2 linked regions of the Cricetulus griseus genome follow. The protein of the gene in region 1 binds, or shares a complex with, the protein of each later gene. Links are inferred from orthologs where the notes say so. Each region holds a gene or a part of one and is shown in the gene's direction. Other genes may lie near its edges.

Evidence for each region. Proteins that work in one complex are often made in the same cells at the same time.
Region 2: Ercc2 (region 1) and Polr2f share a complex: the UniProt entries of both Homo sapiens proteins name them as parts of the TBP-based Pol II pre-initiation complex. The link is inferred for Cricetulus griseus from reciprocal best matches to the Homo sapiens genes ERCC2 and POLR2F.

Annotation. Positions count from the first base shown.
Region 1 is NC_048602.1:27,969,700-27,974,809, reverse strand, and holds part of Ercc2 (general transcription and DNA repair factor IIH helicase subunit XPD), read left to right. Parts: intron 1-1,958; coding exon 1,959-2,036; intron 2,037-2,112; coding exon 2,113-2,175; intron 2,176-2,315; coding exon 2,316-2,429; intron 2,430-3,727; coding exon 3,728-3,844; intron 3,845-4,054; coding exon 4,055-4,171; intron 4,172-4,513; coding exon 4,514-4,637; intron 4,638-4,728; coding exon 4,729-4,825; intron 4,826-4,910; coding exon 4,911-5,044; intron 5,045-5,110. UniProt on the Homo sapiens protein: ATP-dependent 5'-3' DNA helicase. Component of the general transcription and DNA repair factor IIH (TFIIH) core complex, not absolutely essential for minimal transcription in vitro.
Region 2 is NC_048595.1:376,263,796-376,268,532, forward strand, and holds part of Polr2f (DNA-directed RNA polymerases I, II, and III subunit RPABC2), read left to right. Parts: intron 1-1,022; exon of another isoform or gene 1,023-1,054; coding exon 1,055-1,124; exon of another isoform or gene 1,125-1,177; coding exon of another isoform or gene 1,178-1,234; intron 1,235-2,868; coding exon 2,869-2,999; intron 3,000-4,737. UniProt on the Homo sapiens protein: DNA-dependent RNA polymerase catalyzes the transcription of DNA into RNA using the four ribonucleoside triphosphates as substrates.

The DNA of each region.
Region 1 (5,110 bases):
GCAGGAGGAGCCCTGTAACTTGGTCTATAGCCTGGTCTACATATGGAATTTCAGGACAGCCTGGGCTACATAGACAGAACCTGTTCTGTAGAAAGAATTGAACCAGTGTGCTGGGCAAATACCTACACCTCCAGCTACATCAGAGCCCTCTCTTTACTTTTCACTATTCAACAGGACCTCACTAACTTGCCCAGGCTCACGCTGAATTTAAGAACCCTCCTGCCTTAGGTCCATGTCTTGAAGAAGAGGAAGAAAGAAAGAATGTGTTGGTGATGATAACAGGAGGGGCTGGAGAGGTGGCACGGTGGTTGAGAGGACTTGCTGCCCTTCCGGAGGATCCCAGTTTGATTCCCAGTGCCCATGCCTGGCACTGACAACCAGCAGTGACTTCAGCTCTAGGGGGTCCGGCATCCTCTCCCTGCTTCTGCAGGCCCTGTACACACAGAGTGTACACACATACACACACATATAAATTAATCTTTGGTGGTGGTGGTGGTGGTTTTTTTTGTTTTGTTTTATGAGACAGAGTTTCTCTGCATTGCTTTGGAGGCTGTCCTGGAACTCGCCTCTGCCTCCCGAGTGCTGGGATTAAAGGTGTGCGCCACCAATGCCGGGCCCTAAATTAAAGTTTTTAAAGTTGGAGCTGGTGGCAGCCTTCCTAGGTTGTGAGGACTGTGGCAGTTCACACAGAAAGGGCAGCAGTTTCCAGCTCAGGGTGATTTTGTTGCTTTTTGTTGTTGTTGTTGTTGCTGGGAATTAGACCAACATGCTGGGCAGAGTGTCTGCACCTGGAGCTCCATCCCAGCCCTCTGTTTCCTTTCTGTATGAGACAGGACATAACTAAATTGCCCAGGCTCACTCTGTAGCCCAGGCTGACACTGATCTTAGCAGTTCTCCTGCCTTAGGTTCCAGGTGACAGACAGACTTTGACAGGCTGACTGGTGTTGATACTCAGAGTCTATTTGGCCTGTGTATGGTCACAGTAGTGGAAGGGGGGGGGTTCAGGATGTGGAGGACAGAGGACAACTTTGTGGACTTGGTTGTCTCCTACTTTTATGCGGGTCCTGGGAATCAAATTCAGGCTGGTAGACTTGATGGCAACCGCCTTTACGTGCTGAGCTGACTCAACAGCCCTGAACACAAACTTTCTTTAAAACAATTTTTAAAAATTGTATTTATTTATTTAGAGTGTGGGTGTCCATGCTCTGGTGTGCATGAGGAGGTCAGTGGACAACTTCTGGGAGGCAGTTTGGTTCTTCCTTCGGTGTAGGTGCCGGGGATTGAACTCAGTGATCAGCTGGGCCCCAGGTACCTTTACCTGCTGAGTCATCTCACTGGCCCACAAGTCTATTGATACTCTTAATCTTTTTTTTTTCTTTCTTTCTTTCTTTTTTGGTTTTTCAAGACAGGGTTTCTCTGTGTAACAGCCCTGGCTGTCCTGGAACTCACTCTGTAGACCAGGCTGGCCTCAAGCTCACAAAGAGCCTCCTGCCTCTGCCTGCTGAGTGCTGGGATTAAAGGCGTGCGCCACCAACGCCTGGCAGTCCTCACAATCTTGTTCCAAGTAAGGGCTGTGGAGCCAAGGAGTCAAGCAAGGATGCTGTGACCCAGGTGTGATCCAGAGAGGTCAACGAAATAGGGCTCAGCCTGCAACCCCAGTACTCAGGAGGTAGAGGCAGGAGCATCACCAAGTGTACAAAGCCAGCCAGAGGTGCATAGCAAGTACTAGACTAGCCAAGGCTACAGAGCACGATCCTTGGGATGAAAATTAAGGATGAAAAATAAAAACTCCAGCAAAAAAGAAGCAGAGATGAAGCCCCTTGTTCCCTGGGCCTTGATGGCAGTTCACCGTTGTGTGTGTCATGTTCCTAGGTAATGGTGTCCTCTAGGGTCCCCAGAGTTTATGACCCCGAGGTTCTGAGAGCCCGTGTCTTGTCTCTTCTGTGCCCAACTTTCAGGGTCATGGAGTCCTGGAGATGCCCTCAGGCACCGGGAAGACAGTGTCCCTGCTGGCCCTGATAGTGGCCTACCAGAGGGTGAGTGACCATCATGGGTGTCTGGACTGGGGGGCGGGGAGGGGCTGGATGGGGCTGAGCTGATTGTCACCCACAGGCTTTTCCGCTGGAGGTGACCAAACTTATCTACTGCTCTCGGACTGTGCCAGAGATTGAGAAGGTGGGCAGTGAGGATGGACCCAGTGGTCTGTCCCCTCCCCTCGGCCTCAGTGGTCCCCAGTTGCTGCCCTCACTGGCCTGGTGGGCAGGGGCTTATGCTGGTCCTGAGGTCCCCACGCAATGCTCCCATCGTCTAAGCAGGTCATAGAAGAGCTTCGCAAGCTGCTCAGCTTCTATGAGCAGCAGGAGGGCGAGAAGCTGCCGTTCTTGGGACTAGCTCTGAGCTCAAGAAAGAACCTGTGCATTCATCCCGAGGTGAGACCCGGGCCTCGCCCTCAGCCTTGGGCTACCCAGTGCAAGCCCCAGAGACAGCCCGTGGCCATGTGAGGTGACCACCAGTGTAACTCCCTTTTCAGTTAGATCTTGGGTCATCAGTCAGAGCGCAGGTTAGCTCCTGCTCCTAGAACAGAAACTGCTGGAGTGCCAGGGTGACGCCTCAGAATTTCTCATTTGACCTCATGGGATAAGTCAAAGTCTAAACGGTAGAGCACATTTGAAGTGTTAGGATTTTTATATACATGAAACATAAGTGAATTTCATGGCAGCCTCCTGTCCTATCTGACGATATCTATTATATGTATGTAGGTATTCCAGAACCCCAAAACACAGTTGAGCCAAGGGCTACTCAGTGAAGACAGGGTTTCTCTGTGTAGCCCTAGCTGTCCTGGAACTCACTCTGTAGACCAGGCTGGCCTTAAACTAACAGATCCTCCTGAGTGCTGGGTTCAAAAACATGTGACACTAACTGTCGGCTTGAATTTTTTTTTTTTTTAAGATTTATTTATCTAATGTGAGTTCTCTATTTGCATGTACACCCTTATTCCAGAAGAGGCCATCAGATCCCATTATAGATGGTTGTGGTTGGTAAGAACTGAACTCAAGACCTCTGGAACAGCAGCCAGTGCTCTTAACCTCTGAGCCATTTCTCTAGCCTTGTCTAGCTTGTTTTTTAAAAGAGAAACTTAGAGCCGGGCGTTTAATCCCAGCACTCAGGAGGCAGAGGCAGGCGATCTCTGTGAGTTCGAGGCGAGTGTGGTCTACAGATCGAATGCCAATAGGCTCTGAAACTACACAGAGAAACCCTGTCTCCAAAAAACAACAAAAAATAAAAGAGAGAGAGAGAGGGAGAAACTTAGATTTTTATTTTTTAAACACTTATAAACACTTCTATGTTGTTTTTTTAAGATTAATTTATGTGTTATGTAAACAGTGTTCTGCCTGCGTATCTCCCTGCACACGTTTTATTGTGAGGTAGGGCCTTGGTGTTTGCCCGGGCTGGCCTGAGTTGGTGCATTCCTCCTGCTCCAGCTGTCTTGGTAACTGGGATTCAGGTCTGTGCTGCCGTGCCCAGCTCTGGGGACGGTTCTGATGTCCCACTCTGACATCCCTGCAGCAAGTCCTTTTAACTAATAGTGGCTCAGGTGAAGGTTCTGGCTGCCCAGAAACCCCAGCTGACCTGCTACTTGTGATGTCCCGAGTTGGGAAACCCAGGTTGGCGTAGCTGGCACGCACTACCTCCTGTCTCTGTTGTAACTTGTCCCCTGAACCCCCAGGTGACACCACTGCGCTTTGGGAAGGACGTGGACGGCAAGTGTCACAGCCTCACAGCCTCATATGTGCGGGCCCAGTACCAGCAGGATGCCAGCCTGCCTCACTGCCGCTTCTATGAGGTGCAGGGAAGGGCCCGGGCCGGGGAGGGCAGACACCCTCAGGACAGCAGCTCTCCCTGACCCTTCCATCTTCTGGCCCGGGCCGGGGAGGGCAGACACCCTCAGGACAGCAGCTCTCCCTGACCCTGCCATCTTCTGGCCCGGGCCGGGGAGGGCAGAGACACTCTGGACAGCAGCTCTCCCTGACACTGCCATCTTCTGCCTCCCCAGGAGTTTGATGCCCACGGACGCCAGGTGCCCCTCCCGGCAGGCATCTACAACCTGGATGACCTGAAGGCCCTGGGGCAGCGGCAGGGCTGGTGCCCCTACTTCCTGGCTCGATACTCGGTGAAGAGTTGTTTTGTTTTCTTCTGGGGCAGGGTCTCACTTATAACCCAGGCTGGCCTCAAACTTAGAAGAACCTTACGCAGGTTCCCAGCTATGGGGGTTATAGGCATGAGCCACTTTTGCCCACCCCTCCGTTAGCCCATCTGTCTGCTTGCATCTTTGTTGACCTGGTACCTAGGTCTTCCTGTCTCCAGCCTCTGTTTATGCCTTGCCTGGGTGGTCCCATCTGTCTTTTCCATCCACCTGCTGTCTGTCTTGGTGTTACGTCTGTACACCTGGGAAGGAGTGGTATGGCGGGGGCAGCAGGGCCCAAGGCAAAAACTTATCCCTCCATGTTCCTAGATCCTGCATGCCAACGTGGTGGTTTACAGCTACCACTATCTCCTGGACCCCAAGATCGCAGACCTGGTGTCCAAAGAGCTGGCCCGCAAGGCCGTCGTGGTCTTCGATGAAGCCCACAACATTGGTGAGGAGGGTGCCAGGGTGTGCAGACAGCGGCGGCCTCTCTGCCCCGCCCCCAAGCCGGCTGAGCCCATGTCTGTCTGCTTTCCTCCTAGACAATGTCTGCATCGACTCCATGAGTGTAAACCTCACCCGCAGGACTCTGGACCGCTGCCAGAGCAACTTGGACACCTTGCAGAAGACGGTGCTCAGGTGCCCACTCTGCTCCCTGTGTGCCGCCTGCCTCCGTGGCCCTGGACACCTGCCCCATTCCAGCTCTGTCCCATGTCCCCGCCAGGATCAAGGAGACAGACGAGCAGCGGCTGCGGGACGAGTACCGGCGCCTGGTGGAGGGGCTGCGGGAGGCCAGCGCGGCGCGGGAGACAGACGCGCACCTGGCGAACCCTGTGCTGCCGGACGAGGTGCTGCAGGGTGAGCCGTGCCCCACCCCCCACCCTCACACGCCTTCCTTCCCGTGCCAGCTGACTCAGTCTCCCT
Region 2 (4,737 bases), on another chromosome or scaffold:
TGGCCGAGGAAAGAGAAGACTTGCAGACAGTGAGTTTGGGCAGCTCCTTCACAGATTTTGTACCATAGGAGGCTGATGAGATTGATCCACATTTGAAGGTGCTTACTGTACAAGCCTGACAACCCAGGCTTGATCCCTGGAACCCGGAGGTAGAAGGAGAGAATGGGAAAGGTTGTCCCGGTGGTATGTGTGGGCCTTCGTGCAAACACATATCATGCACACATTAACCATAACTAAAAATAATTTAGAAGCCTGGTAACCAGAGACCATGAGAATGACAATGTCACATGGGCCTTATTTTTTTTTTACCCTCCCTCCCCCCATTATAAGGGAACAAACATGGAATTAGGCTGTAGCTGGAGGAAAGAGAATAATGTGGTTTTCTCAGAGGTGGGTGGGGTAATGGTGGTGACGCTTTGCTCCTGGGAATTAATGCCCAGGGATTTCATGCTTGTTGTATATACCTCCGGCCATGAAGTAAATTTTGTTTGTTCTTGTTCTTGAGACAGAATCTCATTATGTAGCCCAGGCTGGGCTTAAATTCCTGAGTCTTCCACTCCCAGTGTCCAAATGCTAGGAGTACAGGAGTGTGCCATCACACTCACAGATTTACGGCTTTCCCCTCATGATAGGGCTAAAACTATGTTGGTGACTGGAGGGGTGGCTTAGTAATTACCAGCACGTGCTGCTTTTCCTGGGAGTGAGAGTTCAGTGCCCATCACCATGTTGAACAGTTCCAGCCACGGGACTTGATGCCTCCTTTCTGGCTTCCATAGGCGTACATTCACACACACAAACATAAATAAACCTTAAAACATAAATCCCCAGACCAGAAAAGTACATGTGCTGACTGAAGTAGTTCACAGAGAGAAACATCGATGACAAGTCCTAGTAAAATTTGGGGGCAGATGGGACAAGATTGAAGGTGTAAAGTGAAGCCAGAGTTTGATTCCCTCATCAAGATTTGCTGGTCCCTCCTACATCACAGCAGAGACCCCAAACTGTGTCCCTGATTCTGGCAGGTGATTCTAACCACCAGTGTCTTCTGGCTTAGTTTCGACGGCGATGACTTTGATGATGTGGAAGAGGACGAAGGACTAGATGACTTGGAAAATGCAGAGGAGGTTAGTAGCCATCCTCAGCTTCCTGCACTGCAACCTGGAAGCTAGACAGTGAGATGGTGATGTTTGCCAAAGGTTTCATCATTCCCTTTCCAGGGATGTGTCTCCTGCAGGTACACTTCGCCTTTGCCTAAGTGTCACCTCAACTAGGTCTTAAGAGTGTTGTGTCTTATTTATTTATTTTTTCTTTTCTTTTCATTTGTTTTTTTTTTTGTTTTTGTTTTTCGAGACAGGGTTTCCCTGCATAGTTTTGGAGCCTGTCCTAGAACTAGCTCTTGTGTCTTGAACTCACAGAGATCCAACTGCCTCTGGCATCCAAGCACTGGGATTAAAGGTGTGTGCCGCCACCGCCTGGCTTGTTGAGTCTTGTTATGTATGTTTTTTAAGACTTGTTCTTAGTGTATAGCCCAGGAACTCAGTATTTAAACCAGGCTGGCCTCTAGCTTACAGAAATCAGCCTTCCTTTGCTGCCTGAGTGCTGGAATTAAAGGCATGGGTTCTGGTAGAAATAGCTTTGATCTCTTTATTCACTACTCTATCCTAAAAACTTAAAATACCATTGGACAGTTTTTATTTAAAAAAAAATATATATATTTTGTGTGTACCGGGCAGTGGTGGCATACACCTTTAATCCCAGCAGCACTCAGAAGGCAGGGGCAAGCAGATCTCTGTGAGTTCAAGGACAGCTCAGGCTACACAGAGAAACCCTGTCTCAAATAAACAAAGAGAAATTTTGTGCATATGGACATGTGTGTCTGTGTGCTGTGTAGTGCATACGGAGGGGCAGAGGTTGCTGTTAGATGTCAGCCCCTGTCGTTCTCTGAACTTGGGTTCACTGTTTCAGCTAGGCTGTCGGTCAGCAAGCCCCAGAAATCTTTCTGTCGCTACCTCCTAGTTCTGTGGTTATAGGCACACACTGTTATCTACCCAGACTGTAAGGAGACTGAGGACCTAAATTTAGGCCCTTTATTCTTGGTTTCAGAATCCTGTAAACTCTGGGCATAGGCTGTGCACATTCCTGGCAGCAGTTGTTGCTCTGTGCCTGTTTTCTCTAGGTCGTGACCCTACTATCAGAACCCAGGGCCTTATGTGTCCTCAGTCACAGCCTGAACAGATGAGTAATGTGTAGCAGGTCATTGCTCAGTATGGTGTGACTTCCTCTTTACCCTGACTGTTCTAGTCACTCGACCCATTGACTCAGTTTCATTGTGTGAAAGATCTGGTGTTTGTGCTCATCATTTATAGGGCCCGCCTTCATTTGGGCAGGACAGTAGGCTCTAGAATCTTTTTTTTTTTTTTTTAAAGATTTTTATTTATTTATTTATTTTGTATACAACATTCTGTTTCCATGTCTATATGCACACCAGAAGAGGGCACCAGATCTCATAACAGATGGTTGTGAGCCACCATGTGGTTGCTGGGAATTGAACTCAGAACCTCTGGAAGAGCATTCGGTGATCTTAACCTCTGAGCCATCTCTCCAGCCCCCTAGGCTCTAGAATCTTGACCACAGTCCTCTTTACTGCTAGCTTGGAGACTTTGGTCAGGTTGGCTGGCTTTTGAAGCCCTTGGAATAGGGACCATCATCCCTGCCTCACCAGGTGGTAAGGAATGGGGTACTAGTGAGTCTCTGTATAGTCCTTGGCATCCAGAAATCGTTACTGGTGCTGAGTGTCATTGTCATCATCTTCCTCCCTGACCCAAAACTTGCCCTGAGATTTCCTGTCTTTGTTTTCTTGGTATCCAGGAGGGTCAGGAGAATGTTGAGATTCTACCCTCTGGTGAACGACCACAGGCCAACCAGAAGCGCATCACCACTCCTTACATGACCAAGTATGAGCGAGCCCGTGTACTGGGCACCCGGGCACTCCAGATCGCGTAAGTGTTGCCCCTCTGCTGTCTTCTCCATCAGCTGGGCCACAGTAAGCCCCAGGCTGCTGATCATGCCCTGTCCCTGTGTGTCAGGCATTGTGCTGGGCTTAGGGAGCCAGTAGCGTAATGTAAAAAGTAAGCCATGAAAAGTAACTGAGGAGCCAAATAACCTCACAGGAAAAAAGTGACAATAAGAACCCTAGTCAGGCCTGGTGGCATAGATACTCGGGTCACAGAAACAGGAGGATCATGGTTCAAGGCCTGCCTGGGCCATGGGTTGAGACAGGCCAGGCAGTGGGCCTTTAGTCCCAGCACTTGGGAGGCAGAGGCAGGCGGATCTCTGTGAGTTCGAGACCAGACTGGTCTACAAGAGCTAGTTCCAGGACAGCCTCCAAATCCACAGAGAAGCCCTGTGTGTGTGTGTGGGGGGGTGCTGCAGAGAGCCGGGCAGCGGAGACAGAGTGCTCCCAGTGCTCAGGAGACAGAGGCAGGCAGAGCTCTGTGAGTTTGGGGCCAACAGAGTAAGTTCCAGAACAGGCTCCAAAGCTACAGAGAAACCATTTTGAAAAACAAAAACAAAAAAAGCTGGAGAGAAGTTAAGAGCACATACTGTTGTTGTAGAGGAACCGAGTCATAGCTGCCTATCAATCACTTCAGCTCCAGGAGGGTCTGATACTTCTGGCCTCCATAGGCACTTCCTTTTATGCACATACCCCAGCATATACACACAAATACAAATAATTAAAAAAAAAAATAGTAAAAGATGTCAGTAGACCCTACAGGGATAGGTTCATGTTGACATTTGATAAGTCAGTGTGGAGCATTCATAGGGTGTGAAGTGCCCAGACAATCCTCAATCCAAGACAACCCAACTGTCATGTTTCTTTGTGAGGAAGACAGCTCCAGCATAGTCTAGGCTTTAGTGCTCCTTACTCTGCAGGATCCCCTGCCCTCTGGTGGTGCCCTTGCTGCCCATGGTTCACAGACCGCCAGACTGATTTCTGTCTTTGCTTAAGTGCTGAAATGGTTGGATAGCTTCCATTGGGTTCAGTGTGGCCTGCTAGCACCACCTGGTGGATGATGTCGCTCACTACTTGCTAACTGGGTGGTTGACATGCTTGTTGATTGGTGGTAGCTGCAGCACCAGAGTCACTTGAAGCCCACACTTGAACTTTGCGCGTCCATAGGGCACTGATGAAAGATGCCTTTCAGTTACTCCTGTCCCATCTGGAGAGACCAGGCTCAGGCAGGCCAGGACAGCCATGCATGGTCTGTAAGGCCTTATATAAAGATGGATTTCTTTTGTTTTCTTGGTGTTAAGGACTAAATCCAAGGCCTTACATGTTCTACTGCTGGCCATGTTTTGGTACATTTTGTTATTCAGGAAAGACACTTGGTTTCTGCCTTTGGGAAAATTCAGGCTTTTGAGGATAGCAGAGATCAGAATAAATAGTCAGTGTAACTCTCAAACTGGTTGGTCTCCAAAGTCACCCAGCAGGTCTGAAAGTACAGTCTTCAGAACCCTTCATTAGAAATTCTGTCCCAGGGCTGGAGAGATGGCTTTGCAATTAAGAGTTGCTGCTCTTGCAGAGGGCACAGGTTTGATTCCTACCACCCACATGACTAACAACCATCTGTTCCTCCAGTTCCAGGATGCTCAATGTCCTTCAAAGGCAAAACACCCATACACATAAAATAAAGTAATTAAAAACTTTTAAAGAAGCTGGAAGGTGGTGGCACACAC